4 linked regions of the Arabidopsis thaliana genome follow. The protein of the gene in region 3 purifies or fractionates together with the protein of the main gene of each other region. This does not show direct contact. Each region holds a gene or a part of one and is shown on either strand. Other genes may lie near its edges.

Region 1 (7,292 bases), on a different chromosome or scaffold from region 3:
TTTAATAAGGAAAGCTGAAAAATTCAACATTTATATTATTTCTTTCGTTGACAACATGCAGCTTTATGCAGGCTCACCGAGCGTGCATCGAAAGGGAAATCATTTCCCTTCTGGATCATCCATTCCTTCCTACTCTCTACGCTTCTTTTCAGGTAGATGTTTTTCTGTTTTGCTTGCATCATGTCGGTTTGCCCGTTTCATTGCTCAATTGCTCTTCTTTTTCTTCCGCAGACCTCTACGCACGTCTGTTTGATTACAGACTTCTGCCCAGGTGGAGAGTTGTTTGCACTACTTGACAGACAACCTATGAAAATATTGACAGAAGACTCTGCAAGGTTCCCTCTTTTCCTCAATCTAAACGTATAATGTGTAACAGAAGATCTCCTGGTGATGTTTTAACTAAATAGGGGCACTATGTTAGCAAGAAAACATATCACCTTCTAGCAAGCATTCAGTTAGCGGTTACTCGGATAACTGATGAAGGCAATAAATCCCATTGTCATTATTATATCTGCAGTTATGAGTTAATCTGATCAATCTCTGTCATCAGGTTCTATGCAGCAGAGGTTGTTATCGGCTTAGAATATCTTCACTGCTTAGGTAATAATAATCATTGTCTCTGTTGATCTAAACATTGCTTATTTATACATTGCCACATGCCTTGAGTAGTCTCTTCTTCCAATAATTTTTTAGCTGTTGTTTCGGTTAAAGATCTGTATATATTTTCCATAAACAGGAATTGTATATCGAGACCTGAAGCCTGAGAATATACTGCTCAAGAAGGATGGACACATAGTATTGGCTGACTTTGATTTATCATTCATGACGACCTGCACACCCCAGGTACTTTTTTGTTCAACTCTACCATTTTCTATTGGCATATAAAGAAATATGATAATTAAGAGAAGTATGGTTTGCAGCTTATTATTCCAGCTGCACCTAGCAAACGAAGGAGATCCAAAAGTCAACCACTACCCACATTTGTTGCAGAACCAAGTACCCAGTCAAACTCGTTCGTAGGAACTGAAGAATACATTGCGCCTGTATAGTGATGCATTTAACGTTTTATCTCTTGCAATCTTCAATTACAGCTGCATCTCATTGTGTTTCAGTTTATTCATGGTTTACTTAATTATTTCAGGAGATAATCACGGGTGCTGGTCATACAAGTGCTATTGATTGGTGGGCACTGGGTATAATCTGCCACTATCTTTACCTTATTTTGATCACAAACTGTTATTAATATGCTCATCTCCTTTTATGTGTGTTTGTTGTAGGTATCTTGTTGTATGAGATGCTTTATGGTCGCACACCTTTCAGGGGTAAGAATAGGCAAAAGACATTTGCCAACATCTTGCACAAAGATCTCACTTTCCCCAGCAGTATCCCTGTGAGCTACCTTGTAACAACAACCTGTGTGTCTTTCCCAAAGTAAAAAAAATACTAATCTAACCATATGTGTTTGTGCAGGTGAGTCTTGTAGGTAGACAGTTGATCAACACGTTGTTAAATAGAGATCCGAGCAGTCGGTTAGGATCCAAAGGTGGGGCAAATGAGATAAAGCAGCATGCTTTCTTTCGCGGGATCAATTGGCCTCTCATACGAGGCATGGTAGGACTAATAATCGTTATTTTTATATCAATCAGCCTTTTCCGTGTTTGTTGTTGGCTGATATAATAGAGTGATTGCATACAGAGTCCTCCACCACTGGATGCACCGTTGAGCATAATCGAAAAAGATCCGAATGCCAAAGATATAAAGTGGGAAGATGATGGAGTGCTTGTGAATTCTACGGACTTGGACATTGACCTCTTCTAATCCTATTCTTCCTCTCTCTGCCTTTGATTCTCAAATTATGCAAAACTCTTCTTCTCAATAAAAGCCAAGGTGTTGTTGTACTTGTAGTTGCTTAAATATAAACGGCTCTTTTCATGTTTTTCCATTTCTTCTAATCAACAACAATAAACATACAAACTTAAGAGCCATGTTAATATTCATGTTAAGTGTGATAAGCCCATTATGAGGCCCATAACTAGCCCACTAGTAGTTGGGAGAAATGTCTTTGAGAAGTCCAACCACCTGCTGCATCGTAGGTCGCTTCCATGGCAGATCGGCGGTACACAAGTACCCTATCTTCACCGCCTCCGCGATTTCATCCTCCGGAACTGTCTCTTGCATCGTCGGATCAATGGCTCTCAATCCTTGTCCCTGCCTCACCAACCCTCTCACCCAATTCACCAAGTCACCCTCCGGCTTCTTCCCACTCACGAGCTCAAGCAAAACAACTCCAAAGCTATACACATCGGATTCTAATGTCGGAGAAGCATTTCGCTCCTGTTCCGGTGGTGTGTACCCGTCTAAACTTTCGGAACCGGGAAATTGCTCGTCCAAGAGTTTAACTAAACCAAAGTCTGCTAAGCGTGGCTCCTGGCTAGAGTCTAACAAGATTGTTGCAGCCTTCACTTCTCCGTGGACCATTGGAGGAATGCAGCCATGGTGAAGGAAAGCTAATGCCCTCGCTGTCCCCAAAGCTATCTTATGCCGAAGTCTCCAAGGTGCAGAATCATCTCCGTTGTTATGGAGTAGACTTTGCAAATTAACCATGTCTAAGTCCTCGTAGATTGCAATTCTTTGCTCTGTCGCTATACAGTATCCACAGAGCGGGAAAAGATTTGGGTGATTGATCCTAGCGAGACGTTCAAATGCAATCGAGACTTCAGTATCAGTCAATGTGGTTCCACTTGGGATAACTTTTAGAGCTGCTCTGAATCCACCGGGTAAGACTGCTCCGTAAGTAGGACCAGACTTGCCTTCCCACAACATTGTGCCTCTGTCGAAGTTGAAAGTCGCAGCCTTTAGGTCTGCAAGCGTCATTTTCATTAATGGCTTGTCGATCATTACCACAGGGATTTGCGTTGCTTGCTTGATATCAGTGGTTGAGTCGTGTTGGTCTGGGGAGTTGGGTTCTGTGTTGTTTATGGCTAGCTTTGTTGCCCAAGTTCTTGATTTTCTTCTAACTCTCAAGGCTACAAGTATGAGCAGTAGTCCTATAAGTAAGAACGCCATGGAGATTGCTAACCCCAAACCAATCTTAAGCCCTGTATTCTTCTTGTTGACTTTCTTTCCTTTTGTAATAATTGGCTTTGCAGCGAAGGGGCAGTTGTTTCTAATATTAATGAAGGATCTCTGGATTGTTTCTTGGGAGAAGTTGGGGTTGCAAAAGGTTAGATTGTTGAAAGAGAAGTTAAACCTTTGCATCATGGCGAGTTTCTCCAAAAGCGGCCTTGGGATATCTCCGTCTAGCTTATTCAACGAGAGATCAAGTACTTCAATGTTCTTGACGCTCAGCATAGGCACGTGGCCAGTGAGATTATTGGAGGAGAGATCAAGAACCTTCAGATGACTCAGCCGCGAGATTTCACGCGGAATGATATTAGTGAGATTGGTCCTTGATAGATTCAGATAATGTAGCGCAGAAAGCTTGCCGATTTCTGGGAACTCTTGTGCCCTGAATCGATTGCACGCGAGGTTAAGGTGTCCCAGCTTGTGAGCTGAACTCAAACCATTGAATATATGGCCGACAAAGCTATTATCGGACAAGTCAAGATGAATCAGACTAGACCAGTTGTGTTTGTGGCCGGGTATTAACTGCAAGATATGCCCATCAAATCGGTTTTCACTGAGATCAACTGTTTCCACGTTTTCATGCAAGACTCCTATCAATGAACCCTGAAACAGATTTCGTGAAAGGTTCAAGCTTTTTAGTAGTGGGAAAGCTGAACCAAAACCGACAGGCAGAGACTCGTTGAGGCGGTTGGATGAGAGGTCGATGGAGAGTAGAGATCGGCAATGGACAAGTTCTGGAGGGACGCCAAACTGAAAGTCATTGTTGTGGAGCTTGAGAGTTGTTAGATTGACAAGGTTGCTTATTGCGGCAGGGATTTTGCCAGAGATGCTGTTGAAAGAAAGATCAAGGGTGTGAAGCGACATGAAATTGCCGATGTTGCTGGGAAGAGGCTCAGAAATCCGGTTGGAGGAGAGATTGAGACTCTCAAGCAAGCTGAGACTCCACAAATCCGAGGGGAGAGACGTAATCTTGTTTCCACTGAGATCTAAAGTTTGGAGCTTACTCATTTTGCCAATAGTGTTGTCGGGGATCGAACCAGACAGGTCCAACCCAGAAGCCGAAATATGCAACACATTCTCACTAGAGTCACAGACGACCACTCCTGGCCATGAACACAAGGAAGAAAACGTATGAGCTTGGGGAGAATTGGGTAATCTCATTGCGGAGAAGAAGCTAGAGAGATGATAAGCGTCGGTGTTGGGATCTAGGCTCGTCAGATGCTTGACGAAGAAGGAGAAGAACAGGAGAGATCCCCATAGAGACAACCTCATAACTTGGTGGTGTCTGGGACTGGAGAAAGTTGGATGGGAAAGCTCAGAAAGAAGACAGACTGTGTGAAAAGAAGAAAAGACATAATGGAATCACGGGGCATAGAGGTGATGATAGTTTAGAATACATTGAAATCCCTTTCACGTGCACAGCTTCAAAAAAAATCAGAACTTTTAGTCAGAAAGCTATGAAATTTCAGAAGAAGAAGATAAGAGTTGAATAGTTTGGGGGAGTTCCGGAGTTGAGAGTTGAGTTTTTGGTTGTATCGTATATGGACACTGGAGAAAGTGGGAAGAGAAGAGAGAGTCGTTGAAAGTCAAAAAAAGGGATATGTGGAGATTATAATTAGGTAAAGTATTTCGCTAGTGAGTTATAAGAAAAATATGATAAATGGAATCTGTCTCAGACCTTTTGTGAATTTTTCCAAATCCCAAAGTTGTCAATGGATTTGGTGAGTGGAGGAGTGGGTGGTTGTTGTGGTTTCTCATTTCAGTAGTGTTTTGGTTATTAATGTAAAAATTCACTTTTTTAGGGGTTTTCACACTTTTTTGACTCTGTCACAGATACCTTGGAAATTGAGAATCATTCATTCCTCTGATTAGCCCCTAAACTGGCGCCTTAATGTCCGCAAATAAGAGAAAATAAAAACAAGAGCCATCAATGTAGTTTAAACCAACTCATCAGATTCATAGCTCATTTTCTGGATAAAAATAGCCACTCACTATTTTAAGCAATCTTATGCTAAAACAGAGCTCCAATAGCTATCTGAGTTTCATCGGATTCAAAGACTGAAACTTGCAATTAGAGAGAATGAAGAAACAATGCTAGCAAAACAGAGTCGAGATATCACAACTTGTGCGCCGAAAAGGAAAAGCCCATTAAGAGGAATTAAATGGGCCGAGAGATAAATGCCGGTTCGTCCGTAGATGAGAAGACACGTGTCAGGTCGGGTAGAGAGTTGGCGGCTGATCGTGGGATCCACGTCATACAACGCGCCAGCTGACCTTTTCCTCTGTTCGAAGATCAATCAACATCACCTTAACAGATTCATACCAAAAAGGAGCATCTTTCGCTACAAATTCTGTAATCAAACGAAAACTCAAAAGTTGTCGATTTTTGAAATTCGAAGAGAGGTTTTAAGACTTTGATAAAATGGCATTGTTTCGCAAATTGTTCTACCGCAAGCCTCCAGATGGTTTGCTCGAGATATGCGACAGAGTTTTCGGTCTGTTTCTCTCCCAATTCTCTGCTTCATTTATCTATTTTTCCTTAGCTCATTGTACTTGTTCGGTCTTCTGGGATTGAGTGTCTGAAAAGTTGGGACTTTTTACGCTAATTTGTCTGAAATTTGGGAGTTTTACAAATCAAGATATGAAATTTCATTTTATCATGATTGGCAAAAAACACATTGAACTGAAAAAAGTTTCTTCTGTGTGTGTTGCAGTGTTCGATTGCTGCTTCTCTACCGATTCATGGGAAGAAGAAAACTACAAAGTTTATATGGCAGGAGTAGTCAATCAACTACAAGAGCATTTCCCTGAAGCATCTTCTCTTGTGTTTAATTTCCGTGAAGTGGGTACTCGAAGTGTGATGGCTGATGTCTTATCTGAACATGGCTTGACTATAATGGATTATCCTCGGCACTACGAAGGCTGCTCATTGTTACCTGTGGAAGTGATGCATCATTTTCTCCGGTCAAGTGAAAGTTGGCTCTCGCTTGGGCCAAATAACTTGTTACTAATGCATTGTGAAAGTGGGGCTTGGCCTGTTTTAGCTTTTATGCTAGCTGCCCTCCTTATATACAGGAAGCAGTATAGTGGTGAGTCTAAGACTTTGGACATGATCTACAAGCAGGCTCCGCGTGAGCTTCTGCGTTTGTTCTCGCCCTTGAACCCAATTCCTTCTCAGCTTCGTTATCTACAGTACGTGTCAAGAAGGAATTTGGTCTCTGAATGGCCTCCATTGGATAGGGCTCTCACCATGGATTGTGTTATTTTGAGATTTATTCCTGATGTTAGTGGACAAGGAGGCTTTCGCCCTATGTTTCGAATATATGGTCAGGATCCCTTTTTTGTTGATGATAAAAAGCCTAAGCTTTTGTACACTACTCCCAAGAAAGGGAAACACCTGAGGGTCTACAAGCAGGTATTTCTCAGAATATTCATAGCGTTCTTATAATTATGACCTCTGACTCAGCCTGTGTTACATTGCATCTGAAGGTCTTAGAAAAAGAAATATATTTGATCACTGATTAGCCCTGTTGGTTTTCTGTTTCTTGTGCTTCTTAGCTTTCTTTTTCCTTGTTTGCAATATGATTTAATGGCTTTTCGATGTTGTTTACTCAACTCTTTGTGTTTTGCAGGCAGAATGTGAACTAGTCAAGATTGACATTAATTGTCATGTGCAAGGTGATATCGTGATCGAGTGCCTTAGTTTGAACGATGACATGGAAAGAGAGGTCATGATGTTTCGAGTGGTTTTTAACACTGCTTTTATTAGATCAAACATTTTGATGCTTAACCGTGATGAAGTCGACACATTATGGCATATAAAAGAATTCCCAAAGGGGTTCAGAGTTGAGGTATGTACTCATGGAGCTCATATTCTCTTTACATGGTACATATAGCTACTCCATTGTAACTTAGTACTCACAAAGAGTACTTTCTGTGTGAAGCTTCTCTTCTCAGATATGGATGCTGCCTCTTCTGTTGACTTGATGAATTTTTCTTCCTTGGAAGAGAAAGATGGTCTTCCAATAGAAGTTTTTTCCAAAGTTCATGAGTTCTTCAATCAAGTTGATTGGGTTGATCAGACAGATGCCACACGCAATATGTTTCAGCAGTTAGCCATTGCAAATGCTGTCCAAGAAGGACTAGATGGTAATTCAAGCCCAAGA
Region 2 (7,392 bases), on a different chromosome or scaffold from region 3:
TAGTCATTAATCTGGATGTTGGAACATGCATACATGCATATACTCACATAAAGTATTGCATATGTATCATTAAAATTGATATGATAGATAGTTTCAACGCTAATTACCCAAATATGATTAGTTTAAACTAATAAGAAAGAAAAATAGCTAGGGATTGAATTATAAGGAAAAAATGAGCTGTAATGTCTAGTGCAGCAGGGGCAATGGAGATCTCAAAATATAAAATAAAAGTTATTTTTTAAAAAATAGTGCAACAAAAGAAGTGAATTGAGATTGGTACACATCTTAGGGACATAGAGAACATGGGTCCATGTTTGTTCTGACAACAAGCCTACAGTTTTTCTTACAAGATTAGATTCTCGATTTCACAAAACTAATTAGCTACAACGTACGGTTTAGATTAATGGATATATATATATTACGTTCTTGATTGTACAATCTAGTGACCGTCCTCTCACGTACGGGTTTCCATGAAGCTTCATATACACTTAATCTAATTATGCATTAATCATTGTGCAAACCAAGATTGAGAAATTAATGTTAAGCTTATGGTGAAACATATCCACTCTATAATATATCCTATAGTAATAGTATATCAATTGCTATATAATTCTTTTTGGATTTATGGATTTGGCAATCGCGTCTGACTAATCTTATTGTAGAAAACATTAATCGATTTTTACTAAATACTTTTAAATCGATATCATATACATATAAAGAGGTATTTCATATAGGTGGTGATTGCTACTAATGCGATAATGAGATGCAGTTACAAAAAAAAGATTGTGAAGGATGCGTTGAATCCAAAGGCACAAAGAGCCACAGTGTCCCATGCTGATAGATATGATTCAGAAAAAATGTTTGAATAGTTTTGGGTTTATTGAGACATGTTCTTGCAATTGATGAAGATATATCAGTGCACGATGCTTTTTCCACTTGAACTAGTTTCATGCATCTGTCATTATTATTTCTTTATAGTACTCTATCAAGATAAGGGTATTGAAAGGTTAAATTGGACCGAACTGGTCCAAAGGGCAAAGGTCCGAAGAGATTTTGATCTGGTTCAAGTTTTAATTTAGTGTGGGATATTGTGGTCCAAGTGCAACTCGAAACAGTTCCTATTGGTTGATTTGATAATTGTAGATCATGAACAAAGAGATAAGAAAGAAAAATATCAAAAGTTTGACAAAAACATAACAAAAAATAGCAAAACAAATATTTAGAGAACTTCTAAATTCTACTACATTCGATCGATTTCATATATTTTACTGGTCCGACGTTCAAAATACATTAGAAATGTTTAGATCGTATACAAATTTAAATAGCACAAAACTTTATTAAATACGTACGTGTAGGTATAATTGGAGTTCGATGCATGTACTACACAGTAGACATTATAAGACATTTTGAAACCGTAGACGTAGACATGAATCCTCAATAGTCTTTATCGTCGCGACATACTTCAGAAAAGTCGTAAAAGATTGTTTTTTCCGACCAAGATCAAATCACCGGAAGTATACATGTATTCAAACTAAATCTCGAATAATTGTAAGTGGGAGGAGGTAAAGAATTCAAAGGTTGGGATAAAAGAATGGGTCTATTCAATGATTTTATATGGTTGATGAAAAATAAAATCCAACCTAAAAATTAAAAAATTAAGCGAACGTGGGATTGGGATAATGTTGAGGAGGAGACAACGATAAAGAACAGTGAGTGGCTACAGATTCTGCGTCGACCATTCCAGGAGACATCATCTTTTATTAGTGTTTTTTTTTTAATATCATGGGTGGTGATTTGTCTTTTTATTTTATATGTTTGTTTGAATATATTAGCAAAAATGAAATAACCTAAAATACCAAACATTAAATGCTTATGGTGACCAAGGTAAGTTGGGCCACAAAACAAATTATAAACCCAAAATTAGAATTGCAAGTCACCATCGACGCTTCCGATCCACACCACCAACGTTTCCAAACTAGAGTCATGTGGTTTCACTACGCTTCCAAAACACCTCATTTTTGGAATCACGTTTGCTTACCGGCTTTGAGACATGCTATGCGCCTCTCCTTCCGCTTCTGTTTCCGCTTCGACCTCCGCTTCTGGTTCGCGGGCGAGTAACGCATCACCTCCGTTGATATAATGCTTCCTAGACAAAAACAAACATACTTTTATTTTAGCTTTGCCAAACGCACCACAACTTTTAACATACCACAACAAATTAGGACAAGATTCTCTAAATCATCTTTCAATTCGTTTCAAACGATGAAGGAACCTTCTTAAACATAACAGAGAATTCTAATACAAGATCATGATTCTATTAAAACAACACTGTGTCTTATGATTTATTTGAACCTCACTGATAAAGTTAGAGAGAGCTAAACGAAAAACAAAAGCTACCCATCTTATTCTATTCAACTTAAGATCAAACAGAAGCAAAATCAGAATCAAACAAGAACCCACAGGAGACATAACATTCCCATCCTGATATAACCATTGATGGAGTCTAGATCTTACGGCGACGTAGTGGGGTTTCACGCTTAACATAGACCTTCTCCATTTCGTTGAGTGGTCGGCTTGATCCATCTGGAAGACTCATAAACTTCCAGCCACCTCCGGCTCCACGTTTGCCCTTAGCACCCAATTTCTCAACCGTGATTTTCCATCCCTCTGATGAACGTCTCCTGCTGTACTTGTGGCACATCACTTCTCCTCTCCACTGGTTTAGAGAGCAAAAGGTAAAGTAACGTTTGTTATCACCAAGGAGAAATGACCAAAGAACGTCTAATAACTCAGCAAGAACTCAAGCAGGAACGCTGATGTTATATATCAATCAAAAGGCGTGGATCTATTCAAACCAATAACCTTTTAAACAATCCACAAGCAAGTTGCAATACCATTATTACTTTCAATCTTTCAAGGTTATTTTACAAGTTACCAAATTTAGAATAGAGGGTTCCAAACTTGCATCTAGTCTCAAGTTTTCCTTCTAAGTTGCAAGCAGGTCACTTGATAATTAACATATGGATGGGAAAATGTCTCAATAGACCAAATGTAGTAATGGTTTACTAAGTCAATGCATACTCAAGTGGGCAAAAGAAGGGCCTTACTTTCATTTTGTTGAACTCAAACCTTCGGACAAATTCTTCGTAAAGCATGTCATCCTCTTTCTTTGAGATCTCATAATGGACTTCATCCATATCTTTGATTGTACCATCCCATCCTTCTGGCATGACCTTGAAGTCGGGTTTGTAATTAAGTGAGGCCACATGAAATTCCCGGTCATGCGAAATGAAGAACCTGTATACCAATATCAAAATGAGGGTTAAAGGAAGACGAAGCCACATAATCCGCAACCTATTCAAGTTTGCATCATGATCGTTCACTAACAATGCTAGATCCAACTACCTTAACTATTTTGGCTATAAAGAAGACTAAATAAAAGAGAGTACACACAGTTACTCCATTTCAATTCATGTAAAACTGAAGTAACATTATACCAAGGTATAGAAATACTAGTCCATGTAAAGTAACTTACTCAGGGTACTCATCAAGCAAACGGTCAACAGAATCATCCAAAGGACGACCAAGCTTCCTCTCCTCTTCTTCTTCATCTTCTTTAAGAAAAAGAATGGCGTGAACACGCTGCCTCATAATCCTATAATCCTTAGCAAGCCTCTCAATAGTATACACCTCAGGATTCTCTTTGTGCAATCTATACATCTCAGTCTTCTCAGAGTCCTTAAGATAAGACCCTCTAGCACCTGGCTCTTTAACTTGCTTCAACAACACACTGATCTCCATCATTCTCTGTTTAATCCCATCAACAAAAGCCCTGCCTTGCCTATTATCTTGCTCAATCTCTTTAAGCAAATCATCATACTCATTCATTTCATTAACCAAAGCTACCTCCTTTGGACCCAATTTGCTCATTACATCACCCGAATCAGAAGGGGTGTTATCAGAAGAAGGATTCGCCGCGTTCTTCTGACGACCAACGGAGACACCATCGAAATGCTCCTTAGTTAAACCAGTAGACCACATAGATTTATTGTCCCAATCAAGATCAGCAGATCCTGTACCACCAAATGATCCTCCTGTTGAAATATTCCAGCCGTTATCATCGCCTCCAACTCCATCAGATCCTGATTTTGCAGAAAATGCTCGATTCGTAGCAGATTGTAAGATTTTTGATGAAGCGTTCTCAAGTAGAAACCCAGATGCTCTCGTGCTAGGGTTAAGTGAAACCGAGGAGAAACGATAAATGATCCTACTAAGGTTATACATTGCTACTGATTCTTCAAATCAAACGTTGAATCGCACGAACGCTGAAACAAAATCGAAAGAGAAGATCTAGTAACTTACCCAATAAACAACTAAAACACACAGACAAAAAGTTCGAATTTTGATTACATGAAGATAAGGTAGAGCGAGTTACCCAAGGAAGATGAGAAGTCGAAGCTCCGATTAATCGGAATTAATGGCGTGAAGGGAGTCACGATAGAGACCAACGGAGGCCAGTTACGACTGCGATAAAGGAAAGGGAAGGGTTTTGAGAATTAGCGAAGAGTTTGTATTTATGTTTTAACCCCTATATTTCTTTATTTATTTTAAATATCACCTTATAGTTGTTTTGCTTTAGTTATGCTCACTTCCTTTTGTATCTTGACTTTTTATTTGTTACAATTTAAACCCAGAATCCACTGATGAGTCTGTGTATGTGGAACAGAAATTATATAGACTTTTGCAATTACGCACGATCTAGACTTGAAGCAATTTTTAAACTGATGAATGTTTTAATGACATAGACAAATAATGATGAATCACAGGTAGGATTTTATAGTACTCCTACTTTGTATTATACATCAAAAACATTTGTTTGTAGTGAATCTTATGAATGGACTTTGCAAGAATATGAACCATATCACAAAAGTCTTACTAAATTTGAATCCCAATGACCTCAACAATAAGAACATCGTTTAGTCTATGACTTCGACATGATTAAATCTAAACCGATCACAAAGAAGAATAACCCTAGAAATTAGAAAAGCACACAAAAGAAGAAAACCCTCACACAACTAAAACAACCCTCTAAAAAAAAGCACTCCTTTAAGCTCCCTTCCTTTCTACACAAGAAAACTTTCTGACTTTGATCAGAGAATTGCTCAACCACTATGAGATTGGCTCCTAGTATCGCCTGAATCATCATCATCATCACCACCATCTTCGTCTTCATGTTCTTCTTTGTGAGTAGTACCAGTGTTCATATTCCCGTATCCATGATAGGCCGGTGTGAAATTGTTCATAGTTGAATTGTCGTTTTGGAAAGAAGAAGGCATTTGAGCCATCGGTCTCACTATACCACCACCATAAGCTTGTGGTTTCTGCTCCTCTACGGTGTTCACCGAAGGAGAAGTTGAATTCACGGTTGTTATGGTAAAAGTAGGAGGTTGTTGTTGTTGCAGTTGTGGTGGTGCTTGTGGTTGTGGTGGAGCAAAAGCCTCCATAACTCTAGGTTTCTTCTTCTGATTTTGTTCTGCTTGATGCATCACAATGAAACTTCCCATTACCACCTGTCACATATTATAAGACTTTAGAGTTTTCTATACTCCTGAATCTGTAAATATGTTTCATTCATGTAATCAAATCGTGTCACCTGAACAGGACCAGCTGCTATAAGCATACCGGCAAGGCCACCACCAAATATATTGCCATTTGGTCCGGCTAAAGAAATGCTCATCCCACCAGCCCGACCTTTTGTTCCTCCATTTTCAGTAGGCATAAAGGAACCAGATAGCGATAGTATCTCAAACCGACCCTTAGAAAAGAAAAAACACATAACAGTTTTACTCGATATATATTTCAAAACGAGGTACTAACGAAATTTGATTCAATGTTTTGTTACCTCATATGTAAGAGTGCCACCTGCATTGGTAGGTTGACCAAGAGTGACATTAGAGATCGAACCAGTTGCAGAAAGAATGCAGATAGCTCGAGATCCTTGTTGCGAATACGGCATAACCTTCATTGTCACATCCTGATCAAAACAAGAAATTCTCAAACAAAGACTGATAGAATTTAATACCAAAGCTTGAGTTACAAGCACCGTGTTGAAGAAAGAAAACAAAAGAATCCTCTGTGGGAAATTTATTACCTCACCGCCATTGACAGTAAATTGATGGGTCGTAAAATTTGCACCCACATAGCATGAGAGCCCAGGAAGAGGAGGAGTAGGAGCTGCAAGAGATAGTAAAACAGAGTTTGCATTAGTCTAATCAGCTAATTAATTAATCCTAATCCTCAAGCAACTAACTCCATGATTCAAAACAAAGACCAACTAATAATCTAAATCTCTTTTTATTCACACAGTAATTAAAACAGATAATGAGAAATCGTAAGATCTGCTAAACAACTTATAATCACAACTAGACATACTTATCTTCTAAGATAAAAAGGAAGAGACAGAGATTATTCTGTCTTTGTATTTTTTTTTTTAAAGACAAAATCTTCTTTTTATTTCTGTTTTTGTTTGGTCAGCATCAGCAGATTCCCTTTCTCTGTCTCTAACTGGTCTGAGTGTAATAGCTTCTTCAGACAAAAGTGTACCCAGCAAAATCCAGTTATGTTGGTCCCACTTCCCAACATCTCAAAAATCCACACAACAACATAAAATCACTCGAAACCCAGATCAGATCTTGTCTCACTGAAACCAATGCAAACAGTTCAAACACAAATATCTCAACTTTTAATTACCTGGGCTTCCATACTCGAATTTGTGAGATTTCTTGACGAACTCAAGAGGCTGATGCTGCTGCTGAGCTTTGCCTCGTTTCCATTGATAATCTCCAGACAATGGAATCGAAGATGAGATTGGAGTTGGAGACAGAGTTGGTCGCAAAAACCTAGGGTTCAGGCTTCCGTCTGGTGCGTACTTCCTCGGTCTTCCTCTCTTCTTTTTCGTCGGATCTGATCCGGTTGATGCTGTGGCTGAGCCAGGAGTCACGGTGGTTGGTACCGGAGCCGAAGACGGAGCTGGTGGAGGAGGGAGAGGAGTCACTACCGTTGTGGGACTCACGAATTGGAGAAAACTAGGGTTTTGTTGAAACTCTGTTCTTGGAACCAAAGCTTCATCTCCCTTAACTGTGACGACCCCACTTGGACTTATTTCACCTTTCTCCTCCATTTTCTCACTAATTCCCCAAAATTACTTAAATACTCTGCTCCTGAAATTCACCAAACTCTGATTCCAAAAAAAAAAAAAATGAGCTTTTTCAGATGAAGAAGAAGTAAAGGTTTCTTTTTTTTCTTCTTCTTCTTTGTAATAATAACTAAGAACAATAAAAGGAACAAGAGATATGAAATAGTAGCTCAAAAGGACCAAAGATCAAAGCAGAG
Region 3 (6,770 bases):
ATAATAAGAAGAATATATTATTTCTTCCTATATATATTAGCATATAGTTGCTCAAGAACAACGGCAAAAATAAAACATATCATATATATAATATATGAACACTTTCAATCGTATATACACAAATATACCTATTTTCTACAGCCAGTAAACTTGTGATTAAAAGTCGATATACATATTGTAGAAATAAAGAGTCATGTTTTTGCTAACATGTTAATATTTGTGCTTAATTTGATATTCTAATACATATGCATGGATGTTAACTTTTTAGTTGAAGTTAGAGAACGGATCTTTTGTTTTAAACAATACATAAACGCATTACGCATACGTATTAATGTAAGATTACATGAACGAGGGGAGTTTAAATGCTTTGATGACGTGAGGCTGAGCGTTAAGAAACGACATCAGCTAAAGCAATTCGTTTTTTTTCTAAGTAGCGAAATGAAATTGAGAATATAAAGGAAAAAGAACGATGAATCTGAATCCCCCAAAGTAGAAAATTCGTGTCACACGTGAAAAAAGTTATAGATTTAAATTCTCTTTTTTTATTGCCAAGAAAATAAATAAATAAAAAGTCCAAAGAGAAAATAAAATTGGAAAAGAAAAAGTGTAAAAGAAGGAGCCAAGATTTTCACACAACCTAAAGTTTTGTTTAAAAAAAAAAAATCAATTTCTCGTGATTCAATCGCATTATCATATAAGCTTTTCCGTGATACAAAAGGGATTTTATAATAGTAAATTGTTAAATTTAATATCTTCAATTTTCGTAATTAATTGACGATTATTTGATGTTATTAAAAGAAAAAAAGAATAGTAACGCTGGATACTTTTTGCCACGTGTCTTAATCCCAGGTGCTCAGAGTGGAAGCAGGTTACTTTGGTTCTGGTGTTGTTACTAATGCTGCACCACATTTTTATCGTCGTCGAACAACACTCACCTATATATGGCGCGTTTACTTCACTTCCTCCTTCTTGTCCTGTGTCTGTCTGTCGCAGTTAATTTATCTACTGGTCAACGAAAGATCTACACTCTGTAGATTTGATTTAAGTTTCGCTGTTTGATTTTTAAAAACATTTATAATTATATGTTGTTATTTTCGACAACTTACATGTTCATGTGTAGTTAGTTATTTGATACGCAATAATATAGTGTAGAGCAGGTTTTGACAAGACTTTAGACAAAAAATCTAAAGCAATAATATAGTGTTACGTTTTCATTTTTGTCTTTCCGTTTTAAAATTTTAATTATTGATTCATCTTTGAAAGCGATTATATTTAAAGACTGACAAAAAAAGCAGCAACAATTGGCTCTTCTCCCAAAAGTCAAAGCTAAAAACGCTAAATCTTTCACTTTCGATCATAAACACAACAGTCTCATTCAAATATTAAAACATTGTGACATCTCATTTCTTAAATTTTGTATTATCCACCATTCTGGACGAAAAAAATGTAGTTATCAAATAGCACGGATTTAAATGCGTTTTTTTCTTTCCTAAACTACAGGAGTAAAAGAATATGTATGTAATTATTATTTCCTTCAGCAAAGCAGATTTTAGAACATACTACTACTCATAATATAAAACATTAATAAAATATGAATAACGCCGGAGATTACGGCCCAAAGATTGGGCAAGCCTCAAAATTTACGCAATATTATTATTATTATTTCTAATTCTCTCCTTCGTCACATCCCATGCAGTCAAATGTCATGAATACCCTTTACCCATTAACTCTATCAAGCCATGGCACGTAAGGGCATTCGCGACATTTCGTATATGCAAACGGGTAAAGCTTAATACAACAAAGATTGTTCTCAAAGTTTAAAAAAACAGTAAATATCATATAAACGAAATCGAGCTTTCGATTATGGAGTGGCTACGATTGCCCATGGCAGATGCAAAATCGGCTTCTTCTTCTCATTCTCTTCAGCTCCTCTCATCTTCTTCAATGGAGGTTGTTGCTGCGGGGACGACGACGACGTTGGTGGGTTGCACGAACTCGCTGACCACGAATCGTTTGAGCTTTCGTCGCTATTGAAAGGGTTTGCATCAATCACGCAGCTTGGACTGTTCAACGATGATGATGAATCGTGACTCTTGCGTTTCTTGGAAGATTGGATTTGGATCTGTAAACCGATGCGGTCCACTGGTAGTTGGAGGATTAGATCGTAGCAAGTTTTCACCTTTTCCTGTTAATGCACGAGAGTTGTTTGAGAAAATGACTGAGTGAAAACAAGTAGAGAGATGATTAGAGAAGCTAACCTTGGTTAAGTTAAGGACACCGAGGAGATTAGTTTGGTATGAAAGAGGGTCAAAGGGATCAACTTGCTCTATAATTCGCATCATGGTAGCTGCGGCAACTACTGATGGGAGGTACCCGACAAATCTTGAATCTGACAAAGACAATTGAGGAAGATAAGACAAGAATGTAAGATGATTACTCAGATTCAGCAGATGGTAAAACGAAATGGAGTGGCTTTTTTCTTTTTGTCGTTTACGAACCGGAGATTACAGAGAGGAGGAGACGGTGGCATTTGTTGAGGAAATCCCAGTGAGCATTGTTCTTAAGTCCCAATCTCCTGATAATGTGGTCTACGAACGAAATTGGAGTAATGAGATGCATCTTCCACTCGAGAGTAGACAGAATCAGTAGCTCCATTCTCTGTATGGTTTTTGCTTCAAACACATACTTTGTCTCCTCCACCTGCAAACCCCCAAAAAAACAGAGAGATGAGAACAGAGGGATAAAAGACTTAAACTTTAAGGAAATTTATTGCAAGTATCATCATTTACTTGAAAGTCTAGAAGAAGAGGGACTTGGGTTTCTTCGACTTTAGCAGCTAATGAGAGACACGCGACAGAAACGAGCTGAAGCATCCATGGTTTGTCTCTCTGTAAGCTGTAGCTACAGATGAACTTATCGAGATAAGTTATGGCTAAAACAGCTGCTAAAGTAGAGAAGCCATAATGAGCGTTGACTCTCAGAATCCAACCAACAGCTTCTTTTCGATCCGTGGAAAGATAAACATCATCGAGACAGCTGAGTCCTTGTTCTTCTTCTTTGGAGAAGAGTGTAACCAGATCTTCATCTTCCCAGAACAAATCTTGTTGCAAAACAACGAATGGAGAAGAAGAAGAAGACAAGGAAGAGTTTTCTTCAACTTCTTCTCCTTCATCGTCCCATTTCTCTTCTTCGCAGTAGAGAGCATCAAGAAGAAACGAATTGCTCTGTTCTTCTCTACTTTCTTCCTCCTTCCGAATCGCCATTGTGGGGGACTAAACTCAAGAATGAGAAGAAAGATAAGATCTTTCTCTTCTCTTCTATATTGTTGTTGATTTAGTTATTGGGTTTTGGCTCAGAGCATTACACGGAAGAAGATAAGATGATAGAGAGAAAATCTCTCGGAGAGAGACTCATCTTTCCTCTCTATGGAAACGTGCAGTGGTTAGCTTAGCAGGGGAGAGCTACAAAAGAGAGACTAGAGAGAGAAAGAGAGAGGAAAAAGCTGGAAGTGGGTTTCGGAGAGTGATAAGAAGAGAGATTGATTTATGAGAGAAGGCCGAGAGATGGTTTTTACGTTTGTCTTTTACTAATATATTATTTGTTTTTCTTGTTGTGATTATTTAATGTGGAATTTCTTTTTCTTTATTTTTTATTAAATGTGTGATTTCTTTTGCTGTTTCCCGCTTTACCCACTTTTTACTCATTTGGAGTAGAGATCGAGAAACCAAAGTGCAGTAAAATCTGTCGGCTAAATTCTACTACTTTTGGGCTATTTGTCAACAATAATGTTTTTGTTAGAACCTAAAGATATTGCTATACATTGACCAAATAACCTTTTTCTAATTGCATCTGATCACAAGTGCGATGATTATACGCCGATAAGTTCCGTTTCTTAAAGTTAAAGACAGAACCAAAACCTTTTTTTGTTTTTAACATAATTTTAACTCAAGAGGATGATGAACACACAAAACCAAGGATTTAGAGTAATAATTCAATATAATCTGCGATCTGGTTAAACATGAAAAGATCCAAACTTCTCAATAAGTTTCACTGACCAACTCAAAAATTAACCATCACGCTAGCAATAGCACAAGGAAGATGATATAAAAAAAACAAAACAAAGAAATTCGTCTGCCAAATTCTAGAAAACACCATAACTATAATCTATACATCATGACCACTTCCCGTCAAATTCTAAACGCCAAACGCTCTAGTATGGAGGAGGTGGGTATTGTCCTGGATATGGACCTGGAAACAAGAAGAAAAAAGATCAACCACCACTGACTATAGTTAGAGACAAGCAAATGCGATCAATTGCAGCATAGAACAGGAAAGAAAGGAAGGTACCTTGTGGGTAATATGATGGTTGCGGAGGGTATGGTTGAGGAGGGTAAGCTGAGGATGGCGGAGGAGGTGGGTAAGCTGAAGGGATCGGAGGGTAGCCCGAGGTTGAGGGAGGTGGATAGGCAGATGGCTGAGGAGGATACCCTGAAGCTGGAGGGTATCCTGATGGCTGAGGGTATTGTTGTACTTGTGGGTATAGAGATGGTCCAGAGTATGGTGGTGCTGTTGAATACGGAGATGCAGAAGGCGGTGCTGAGTATTGAGGTACGTGAGGTGCATACGGTGCTGATGGCGCAGACCCGTAATTATGTTTCTGCATACAAGAGTGGATTGTGTGTTTAGCCTTTTGTTTATAATGGAACATGTTAACCAATGTTGCTAATTGAGGCTCGACTTACCTTTGCTCCCGCATAATGCAGTAGGAGTTGTACTTCTCCAGCGAATCTACAAGACAGAAAGGTTGATGTTTTTCACAAGGCTTTTAATCAAAAAAGTAATCTTTTACAAGGAGCAATCGCTGAGGACAAGCTACCAAAATCTTGGCACATTGTAACCGATTTTCCAGGAATTTAAGAAAACAAAACACATAGCCATGGATTAAAAAACACATAACTTTCTCTTTTTCAAAAACAAAAATGGAATACCTCAAGAGACCAGTTTTAAGAAATTCTAATTTGATGCTACAATGTTTAAACGCAACTTCACATCTCTTTACTGAGGTAACCTAACAACAGACAATAGAAGCTCCATTTATGTCAAAATGTCTAGTTATCTTTCATAAGTTCCAGAGAAACCTAATCAAAATGCTACATCAATTGTGAGTGTGCTCAATGTAGAAACAGAACATTCGAACAAGTAGTTCACACAGATTAACAATTTAGGACACAAAAACACACATAACGACTCTGATCAGTGAGCAAAACCATGTCAGCACTGTAAGTAAATGACAAGAACAAAGCAAAGCAAAGCAAAGCAACTGGCGAAACTATATATTCAAGCACTATATAGTAGAAACCACATCAAAAAGTTGCACCAAAATCAGCTAGACAAATGTGAACCATGCAATAATCGAGATTACCAAACATGATACTTAATGGAAAAGGAACAAAAACTAGTAAAGCCAATGTAATTACCTCCCAGTTTTACTCTGCAAAGTCCAGGTACAGTCGTCGTATTCCTGAGAAAGAACTTTCTGCAATTGAATCCTAATAACAACCAAACAACAAAAGACTCAATTCCAAATCCAAAGCGGGTATTAAAAAGCATAACAAGGCAATGATAAGAAGTGACACATACGTTGCATTGCCAATGAAGTCATCAGTGGAGAGAGTGTTGCTATTCCAGACAGCAACCTTAAGATCCCTAAGCCCTTCAATCAAAGTGAAGATAAACTTCTCTTGGAAAACAGCGTTCTTTCCACCATCTGAAAAAACAAACCCATCAATCAAATTCATTGAAAGATCTTAACTTTGTTCAATTTTTTCTGGATCTGAACAAATTATGAATAAAAGAGGTGGTATTAAAAATAACCTGTGCAGGTTCTGGTACGGTGACTTCTGCCACCATACTCAAGGACGACGTATGGATCTTGTCTTGAAAACCATTCCGTGTCTTTCAATTTCTGGCACCCAACAACTGACAAATCAAAAGAATCCCAGAAATTTTAAAAGTTAACATTTCAACGGATCATAGATAAGGTTGAAGAACATAATAGAATTGGGGATGTGAGAAAGGTACGAACCAGTGACCTCGAGAATCTGGCCTTGTATACCCGCCATCATCGACATGAATTTGGAAGAAAACAATCGAGATTGAGAAAAAGAAGGTAATGATGAAGATGATGAATTCAGAGAGATAATTCCGTGACGTGAGACTTTAAATAAAAATAAAATGGCGACTTTGATTGATGATGAAATAACGCAGAACTTGCTTTCAAGAACCAGACGCGTCTCGTAAGGCGTTGACCGTAATTTTGACTTTTCATTAGATTTAGGTACGCGTTTTTTAAATATTATTATTTCCTTAACTATTAAAGTCTAGATGTTGATAATCTTTGATTCATAAAATCAAAATTTTTACAAACAATTACAAGCACAACCACACAATAGTGATAATTCTATGGCATGTCACCATTAAAGATAGATTCACGACAATCAATAAGTAAATAAATATAGATATAGCTTCGCTTTGTTATTTGCTAGACACCACTTATTATCTTGTGGATGATATTATAAGGTGTGGCTGAAGAACGGAGACCAAAATAAAGGGAGTGTCTTTCTTATGTATTTACTAGGATGCGTCCAATGGCATGATGGTTATAGATTACAGTGTAGCTGTTGCAATCATCTTGGTTCCTTTGAAAGTTCTAATATCATCAGATGACAGACAAAAAAAAAAAAAGTTTCCCCTTGGAACAAGTCATCCAA
Region 4 (7,708 bases), on a different chromosome or scaffold from region 3:
TGGCTTTTGTTATTCCGGTAAAGTTTCGATTTTTCGATAGAGTTTATTGCTGTGTGTGTAGCTTTGTATCTTGATCAGCTTTGATTTTTGATAGATGCTAATGGATTATTTTTGTGTGTTTTAGATTCTGGAGAAGTTACATAGGGAGAGATGGAGTCCTGAAGATGGTGTGGGATGTATAATTATATCTCCAACAAGGGAATTGGCAGCCCAGACATTCGGTGTTTTGAATAAAGTAGGAAAGTTTCATAAGTTTAGTGCGGGGCTCTTAATTGGTGGTCGTGAAGGAGTTGATGTTGAGAAGGAGAGAGTTCATGAGATGAATATTTTGGTGTGTGCTCCTGGTAGGCTTCTTCAGCACATGGATGAGACTCCAAACTTCGAATGTCCACAGCTTCAGGTAATGATGACCATATTTGTTTATGTTTTCACTATCCTTATTTTAATGAAATGTTTCAGCTACAGAACATTTGGGCATTTTGTGTTGTTAACTCTATAATACTTGTCCATGATGCCTTTCTCCTACACGTTTATGAACATTAGGATGGTTATATTTGCAAATAAGGATACCGTAAAACCACTTCGACTATGTTTCTGTCTGCCAAATTTCTTCAGTCTTATTGTTTACAAATGCCTAGTAAGTGTTCTCTTTTGCTGCAGATTCTGATTTTAGATGAGGCCGACCGTGTCCTTGATTCTGCGTTCAAGGGGCAGTTGGATCCTATAATCTCACAGTTGCCTAAGCACAGACAAACTTTGCTTTTCTCTGCAACTCAAACTAAGAAAGTCAAGGATCTAGCAAGACTCAGTTTGAGAGATCCTGAGTACATTAGTGTACATGCAGAGGCGGTTACAGCTACTCCAACTTCCTTGATGCAGACTGTGATGATTGTCCCAGTTGAAAAGAAATTAGACATGTTATGGAGTTTCATCAAAACTCACCTTAATTCCAGGATTCTTGTTTTCCTCTCCACCAAGAAACAGGTTATATTATATTACCTCTCTTCCTCTTTGAATAATCTACATGGAGATAGTGTGTTCACTTTCATTCTGCCACTTTCTTCTATCTTGAGATTGACAAACGGATCACAATCCTGGCAGGTCAAATTTGTGCATGAAGCATTCAACAAGCTCCGGCCTGGAATACCTTTGAAGAGTCTTCATGGAAAAATGAGTCAGGAAAAAAGGATGGGAGTGTACTCTCAGTTCATTGAGAGACAATCAGTTCTGTTCTGTACTGATGTTCTTGCTAGAGGTCTTGATTTTGATAAGGCTGTGGACTGGGTTGTTCAGGTATGAATCCACATCCAGAATTACAAAACTCTATGATCTTGTCGGGCTGAAGTGTGATGTCATCATATTTATTTTATAGGTGGATTGTCCTGAAGATGTAGCTTCTTATATTCACCGGGTTGGGCGTACAGCTCGTTTCTATACTCAAGGGAAGTCGCTCCTCTTTCTGACACCTTCAGAGGAAAAAATGATTGAGAAATTACAAGAAGCTAAAGTGCCTATAAAACTCATCAAGGTAGTAGCTCCCGTCCTCAATTTTCTTTGAGTTTCGACTGTGGTTGGAAACATTTGACTGTAAAAAAATTTGTCACACAGGCAAACAACCAAAAGTTGCAGGAGGTTTCTAGGCTCTTGGCTGCTTTGTTAGTCAAGTATCCAGATCTTCAAGGTGTTGCTCAGAGAGCCTTCATCACATATTTGAGGTCCATCCACAAAAGAAGGGACAAAGAGATTTTTGATGTGTCAAAGCTGTCGATTGAAAACTTTTCTGCTTCACTTGGTCTGCCAATGACTCCCAGAATCCGATTCACAAACCTTAAAACGAAGAAAAAGGGGGTATATGAGAGTTCTATCGCTATGGAGATTGAGAATGCACAGGAATATGAAGCACCTCTGGTTGTCAAAAAAGATCTTCTTGGTGAAGATTTAGAAGAAGAGGATTTTGCTCTCAAGCCACGTAAAGAGGGCAAAGTAGTAGAAAAATCAACCAAGGAAGAAGAAGTTCTCATGTATGGTTTTCGCATTCCGTTAACATTTTTTCCATTCATTCGATCCAGTCTTTTCACGCTTAATTATGTGTATAAATTCTGTTGAATTTTCAGACCAGGAAATCGTGTTTTGAAAAACAAGAAGCTGAAGATCAATCTACACAGACCATTTGGGTCGAGGGTTGTGCTTGATGAGGAAGGCAATTCTTTGGCTCCCTTAGCAAGTGTAGCTGCTGAAGCAGGGACTGAAGTAGCCCTTGATGAAGGTAAAGGAACATGAATCCCTATTATCCTGTTCACACAAACGAGCAATGAATCAGTTTTTAAAAAAGCATGTGTAAATTGGTTGTTGAATTTTGCAGAGAGAATGAATGATTACTATAAGAAAGTGGGAGCGGAAATGAGGAAAGCTGATATAGAGGACAAGAAAGTAGACAAGGAAAGGAGGAGGGAAAAGAGAATGAAACAGAAGATTAAGAGGAAGAGAGGAGCCATGGAGGATGAAGAAGAAGAAGAAGAAGAAGACCATGATGGTTCTGGATCATCAGATGATGAAACTGGAAGAAACAGCAAAAGAGCAAAGAAAATCGTCTCTGACAATGAAGAAAATGGAGGAAAAATCAATACAGATTCTCTTTCCGTAGCTGATCTTGAAGAAATGGCTCTCAAATTCATAACGCAATGATAAGATCTTAATTCGTGTAGTTAATTTACATCAGTTCTGTGGAAAATTTTGTGATTTGTTTCCACCTAACGATTGCACGTTTGTTACCGTCTTACTATGAGGAAAAGAAGGATTTGCATTTTAGCTTTTGGTTTGTTTGTTGTATTAGGCGATGAAGAAAATTTACATCTTCTTTCGTAAATTCCATAATATATCAATTTTTGGCAGTAATCAGATAAGTTTTATAACAAGATTTTCTATCAGGCCATGGACTCTTTTAAACTTGGGAGTGCATCTTTAACCAAATCTCTATAGGTTTGAGCCGTTTGACCAATAGCAAGTGGTAAATACGATTGATTTTGGATAAATATTTATTTTAAAAAACAACAGAATAAAGTTTCAACATTCAGTAAACACTTTGTTCATAGCAAATTCAAGATCGACTCATTTGCAAAATAAAACTCAAACAAAAAGAGAGCACTTTTAATCTAGAAGTCCTAATAAGACACAATCGCTCATCTTTTGTTCCAAGACATTGGTAGAAATAGCTGATGTTGATGTTTCACTGCAATTGCAAAAACAAGAAAGGTAAGAACATATTCACATGATGCATATCTTAAAATATTATTCTTGTTTATTAGTGTTATTGAGTTACCTGACGTTGCTGCTGATAGTTGCCATAGCCAGTGTAACCACCATAGTACGCATTAGGGTCTTGAGTTGGTGGTTGAGCTGCATAACCATAGCCGCCCTGTGGCTGTGGAGGGTATCCATAGTATCCACCACCGTTCCATTGCGCTTGATCAGACTGTGACGACAAAGTTTTAAGTTATGATTTTGCTCATAATATCACTAATAAGATTGAAACGTATAGATTTGAGAAATTGTGGGAGAACAGGTAACAAGCTAACCTGCTTGTTTGGACTACGTCCCCACGAAAGACGGATGCTTTGTCCACCTAATTGTGTTCCATTCAGCACCGAAAGTGCATGCTCTGCAGACGCCCTGAAGCACAACAAAGAGAATAATGAAGTAAGCAAGAAAAAATGGAATTCATAATGAATGGCTGATATGATGTTTTATACTTGTTGGCATATTGAACGAATCCACAACGTTTTCCTGGAGGTATTTTCACATGAAGAAGTTCACCAAATTGACCAAAAATTGACTTTAATTCATCGTCTGTAACATTAGCATCCAGACCTCCAACAAAAATCTGAAAGTAGAACGCGTTAAACTTGCAGTCTATCAAAAACAACAGACTAAAGATTTTGGAGAATAACAAACGAAAACTAGCGACATACTGTTGTGTTATTAGGATCATTATCTCCAGCATTTGCTCCTTGAGTGTTTTGATACATAGCTGCAAATAACAGATGGGTGAGCTCAAGAGAGATGGCTATAAAATTTCTATGGATACTGCATAACGCCCCACTCGACATGGTGAGAAAACTACAAAACTAAACTGCAGAACAACAGACAGTTCACTCAAACAACGTTTGCAAAAATCATTCACATCAACACCTAAGAAGATACCAGCAAAGAAACCAAATAACATACAGAGATCAAGATCAGAAAAATCTGAAGTCAGTTGATTATTGATGTACAAATCGTTAAGCACATATCAAACGGTCCATGTGAGACTTAACGCCGAAGCATAGAATAACGAAAGCAAACTCTTCATCCTACATCTAAATTTCTTCAATATTAGAAGTTCCTAGTAATCAACTTACATAACAACTCCTTGGCCAACGTTTAATAGTATAAATCTAGAGAGGAAAACTATTGTCAAAAGATGAAAAAATACTGGCAACAGTCTGCATAGAGAAGAAGTATTAACTTTTAGCCTTTAGGTAAAGGTGAAAATAAAATAAGGGGAAAAATGAGCTACGGAATATAAAAAGAATGAATTTGAAGGTAAAAGGCTCAAAATAAATATGTCTAAGTGATATAAGTAAGGAACTGGAAAGTAATTTGAAACTGTAGGCTAATAATAGCCACTTATATGTAACTTCTTCTGATAACATAACCGACTGACCTAAATGAGGCCACGCATTAAAGTGGTATCATTTTCAGCTGAAATCAGTTCCAGGCTCCCCCAAAGAGAGCCACTTGTTCTCCTGCTTTAAGACAACATGAGCTGATCTTTATAAGTTTTTGGATGCTTTACGATATCAAAATTTATTTTGCAGAAAATCCAAAACCGAAAGGAAAAAGAGCAGATGAGAACTCTTAATCTTTGAGCACTAATTGAAAGAAGAAACTAAACTGATCAGAGAGAAATACAGCACCCAAAAAGACACTCAAATATAATGCTCAACATAGAAGGTTAAACAAACACAAACAAACTTCATATCAACTTTCAACATACTCAATATACACAGTTCCTACATAATAAAACATACCTGGTTGCATCGGAAGAGCATTCTTATTGGCAGCCGGACCAATACGCATAGGCCTTGTCGAGCAGTATTGACCATTCATTTCAGTCATGGCACGCATCTGCTCATTTTCATCCGCAAACCTAACAAACCCATACCCCTTGGACCTTCCAGTGGTCCTGTCAAGCACAACTTTAGCCCCTTTGACAGACCCATACACATTCTTGAATGTGTCCGAGAGCATATAGTCAGTCACCTCAGGTGCCAAGTCACCTACGAAAATGGTATGGTCAGGCCCTTCAGTCTGGAATCGTTTCTCTCCAGCCCCAGCCTGAGCCCAGTTGAGCCTAAACGTCTGTTCAGTGCTCGGCATGGGAGCACCATTGTAAGTCTGCAAAACCCGCTCTGCTACAGAGTGGCTGACGAACTCAATGAATCCATAACCTTCAGATTGTCCCGTCAGCTTATTACGAATGACTTTAGCTGATGTAGCCTGAAACCACCAAACAAAAACACCAAGTATTCACTAACCATAAAAAATGAAGATTTATATTGCAAAGAACAATACTTAATCAATCTTCTACATGATAAGCAAAAGACTATGTTCATCTCGATTTTGATAAACAGTCAAGTAAAATTACCTCGCCAGACTGAGCAAAGACGCTCATGATGTAGTTCTCGTCCATCCATTGCTGCAAGTCTCCGATCCACAACGACTTAACATCGCTAGCGGATCCTGGATTCTGAGATCCAATACCGTACTGATGTTGACCTAGTGGCGCCGCAGACAACTGCATCTGCTGCTGCTGCTGCTGCTGTTGCATCATCATCCACAAATGCTGTTGTCCTGATGGTATCTGTCCAGCTCCGGCGGCGTTTGACGGTGGTTGCTGCATCACTACGACGGACAAAAAAACCAAAACCTAAACTTTCGCTTCGAAAATAAAGCATTTTTATAGTTATGATATACAGTTGTAGGCTTTTTTATAGGCCCAATTTTTATATCAGCCCATTAGTTGTTCTACCATTGACCGGTTTGGTTTTGAACCGGGCCATGATATTGAGTAATTGAACATGGTTAGTGTTCTAAGGTAAGAATGATGACAACAGAACAGTAAATTGGATTACTCTAAAAATCAAATTATGAACTTAATCAAAAAAATAAAATAAAATTAGTCAATTTCATAAAGAACAATTTTGGACTGATCCAATTTTAGTTCAATAAATCAAACCGAAGTACATAATCGAATATACAAATCAACCAAGATTGTTGTATCTATGACTACTTCTGAGACATGTGAAACTTTAGTATCTGTTGTATCGATGAAGAAGTTTTGGTCTACAGTTGGATTTGTTCAGGTCACATCACTCACATGATCATGATTCTAGATCAAAGATTCATAGAGTAACAAGCTCTTCTTCACCAGTCCTCTTCCCTCTCCAGAGTATGATCTGCTCATCTTTGAACAATATGGGAACACATGGAACCATCTCCTGCAATTTTGATCACAGCATCAAGATAGATCAATTCTAGAGAATCTGACAGACAATATAAGACAAGCAAACCATTTACAGTTTATTATACCTTTAGTTTCACACCAATTCGTTTGCAGTCACTCATCCCAACATGAGTGCAATCTAGTCTCACAATCTCTTCTGTTTCAAACTCTTCCCTCACTCTTCCAACGACATTAACATAAACACCATTCCTAGCTGAATCACAATACAATCCGCCAATCAAAAACGAGGAAATACTAGAAAAATGACAAAGAACTTGACGATGTATATACTACTTACTAAGTTTCATTAAGGCAGGAGAATGAAGCCCACGATTTCTCATCTCCTTGGTCTCTTCAAATTCTAACCCATCAGCCACATTCTTTACAAGTCTTGGGTATATTGGCGGATGAGGCTTCCATAACATGAGTGGAATGATGGGACGACTCTTCGGATCATAATTCCTTCCCCGGTACAAAACTAGAATGTTTATGTTTCTGTATACAATCTTTCCACCGGATTTTTCCTATCAAGAACACAACTATAGTAAGATCAACCGAAAGAAAAACAGAGCCGTGTTCTGGAGATCTAATAATAGACACCTCGAGGTGGAAACATATGTTGTCCATGTCAAGAGTTGGTACTCCCAAGCATTTGATCCTCACTGCCTCAGCTTTCTTCCAATGGTTATGAATATCATCTATCATATTGTGAGTCACACCACCTTTCCCTGATAACATCACAAAGTTTATAAGAAGAGACCAATCACATAATTTGATTATATCACAACATGATCATCATCAAGACCACAAATCTACAAGTGATGTCAACACAAAGAAGTTTCTACCACTAGTGAATCTGCAACATCAACGATGACGAAAGCTCTTAACTTTGAAGACGATTCGATTTGATCAAGCAAACTAATTTCAAAGCTAAAAAACTTAGGCAAAAGATTCAAAATTGTACCGAGATTAATCTGTCGTGTACAGTCACTATGCCGATACCGTTCAATAAGCTCTGTAACTTCATCCTCTGTCAAAGTCTCGCCGAGAACTCTTGCTCTCTCCTCCACCCATTGACTCTGATCAATCTCCGGCGACGCCAGTGCGGTAGTCCCAGTCCATTTCCGGTCCAATCGACCCGGTCCAAATGGAGAGAACCGTTTC

Evidence for each region.
Region 1: the proteins of CYCD3;1 (region 3) and AT5G58150 purify together in Arabidopsis thaliana (affinity purification with mass spectrometry, with the first as the bait; one large-scale study listed by BioGRID). This does not show direct contact.
Region 2: the proteins of CYCD3;1 (region 3) and GCD1 purify together in Arabidopsis thaliana (affinity purification with mass spectrometry, with the first as the bait; one large-scale study listed by BioGRID). This does not show direct contact.
Region 4: the proteins of CYCD3;1 (region 3) and RBP45A purify together in Arabidopsis thaliana (affinity purification with mass spectrometry, with the first as the bait; one large-scale study listed by BioGRID). This does not show direct contact.

The regions. Positions count from the first base shown.
Region 1 is NC_003076.8:23,528,176-23,535,467, forward strand, and holds AT5G58150 (Leucine-rich repeat protein kinase family protein), read right to left. Parts: upstream 4,666-7,292; 5' UTR 4,399-4,665; coding exon 2,041-4,398; 3' UTR 1,906-2,040; downstream 1-1,905. Other genes in the region: PHOT2 (phototropin 2), read left to right, coding at 72-152, 232-335, 551-600, 737-843, 921-1,043, 1,142-1,193, 1,278-1,390, 1,471-1,611 and 1 more; AT5G58160 (actin binding protein), read left to right, coding at 5,549-5,621, 5,841-6,541, 6,759-6,977, 7,071-7,292.
Region 2 is NC_003076.8:25,009,119-25,016,510, reverse strand, and holds GCD1 (ribosomal protein L20), read right to left. Parts: upstream 4,555-7,392; 5' UTR 4,436-4,554; intron 4,326-4,435; 5' UTR 4,285-4,325; coding exon 3,536-4,284; intron 3,298-3,535; coding exon 3,108-3,297; intron 2,717-3,107; coding exon 2,515-2,716; coding exon of another isoform or gene 2,504-2,514; exon of another isoform or gene 2,147-2,503; coding exon 2,025-2,146; 3' UTR 1,699-2,024; downstream 1-1,698. Other genes in the region: AT5G62260 (AT hook motif DNA-binding family protein), read right to left, coding at 5,163-5,570, 5,654-5,815, 5,903-6,034, 6,152-6,234, 6,751-7,180. UniProt on the Arabidopsis thaliana protein: Essential for fertility (male and female gametophyte functions and development). Required for the integrity of female gametic mitochondria. Modulates male gametophyte functions, including pollen tube growth and style penetration.
Region 3 is NC_003075.7:16,354,396-16,361,165, reverse strand, and holds CYCD3;1 (CYCLIN D3;1), read right to left. Parts: upstream 3,746-6,770; 5' UTR 3,264-3,745; coding exon 2,790-3,263; intron 2,701-2,789; coding exon 2,499-2,700; intron 2,390-2,498; coding exon 2,259-2,389; intron 2,186-2,258; coding exon 1,862-2,185; 3' UTR 1,601-1,861; downstream 1-1,600. Other genes in the region: AT4G34150 (Calcium-dependent lipid-binding (CaLB domain) family protein), read right to left, coding at 4,211-4,248, 4,348-4,657, 4,743-4,788, 5,478-5,549, 5,641-5,767, 5,875-5,979, 6,086-6,131. UniProt on the Arabidopsis thaliana protein: Involved in the control of the cell cycle at the G1/S (start) transition. Activates the G1/S phase transition in response to cytokinin hormone signal, but declines in response to sucrose starvation leading to G1 arrest.
Region 4 is NC_003076.8:22,293,645-22,301,352, reverse strand, and holds RBP45A (RNA-binding protein 45A), read right to left. Parts: upstream 5,985-7,708; 5' UTR 5,942-5,984; coding exon 5,687-5,941; intron 5,539-5,686; coding exon 5,070-5,538; intron 4,028-5,069; coding exon 3,969-4,027; intron 3,881-3,968; coding exon 3,750-3,880; intron 3,670-3,749; coding exon 3,576-3,669; intron 3,473-3,575; coding exon 3,320-3,472; intron 3,230-3,319; coding exon 3,227-3,229; 3' UTR 2,958-3,226; downstream 1-2,957. Other genes in the region: AT5G54910 (DEA(D/H)-box RNA helicase family protein), read left to right, coding at 1-17, 125-400, 661-984, 1,102-1,293, 1,373-1,528, 1,609-2,021, 2,115-2,266, 2,363-2,685; AT5G54890 (RNA-binding CRS1 / YhbY (CRM) domain-containing protein), read right to left, coding at 6,444-6,539, 6,631-6,758, 6,843-7,068, 7,145-7,272, 7,509-7,708. UniProt on the Arabidopsis thaliana protein: Heterogeneous nuclear ribonucleoprotein (hnRNP)-protein binding the poly(A) tail of mRNA and probably involved in some steps of pre-mRNA maturation.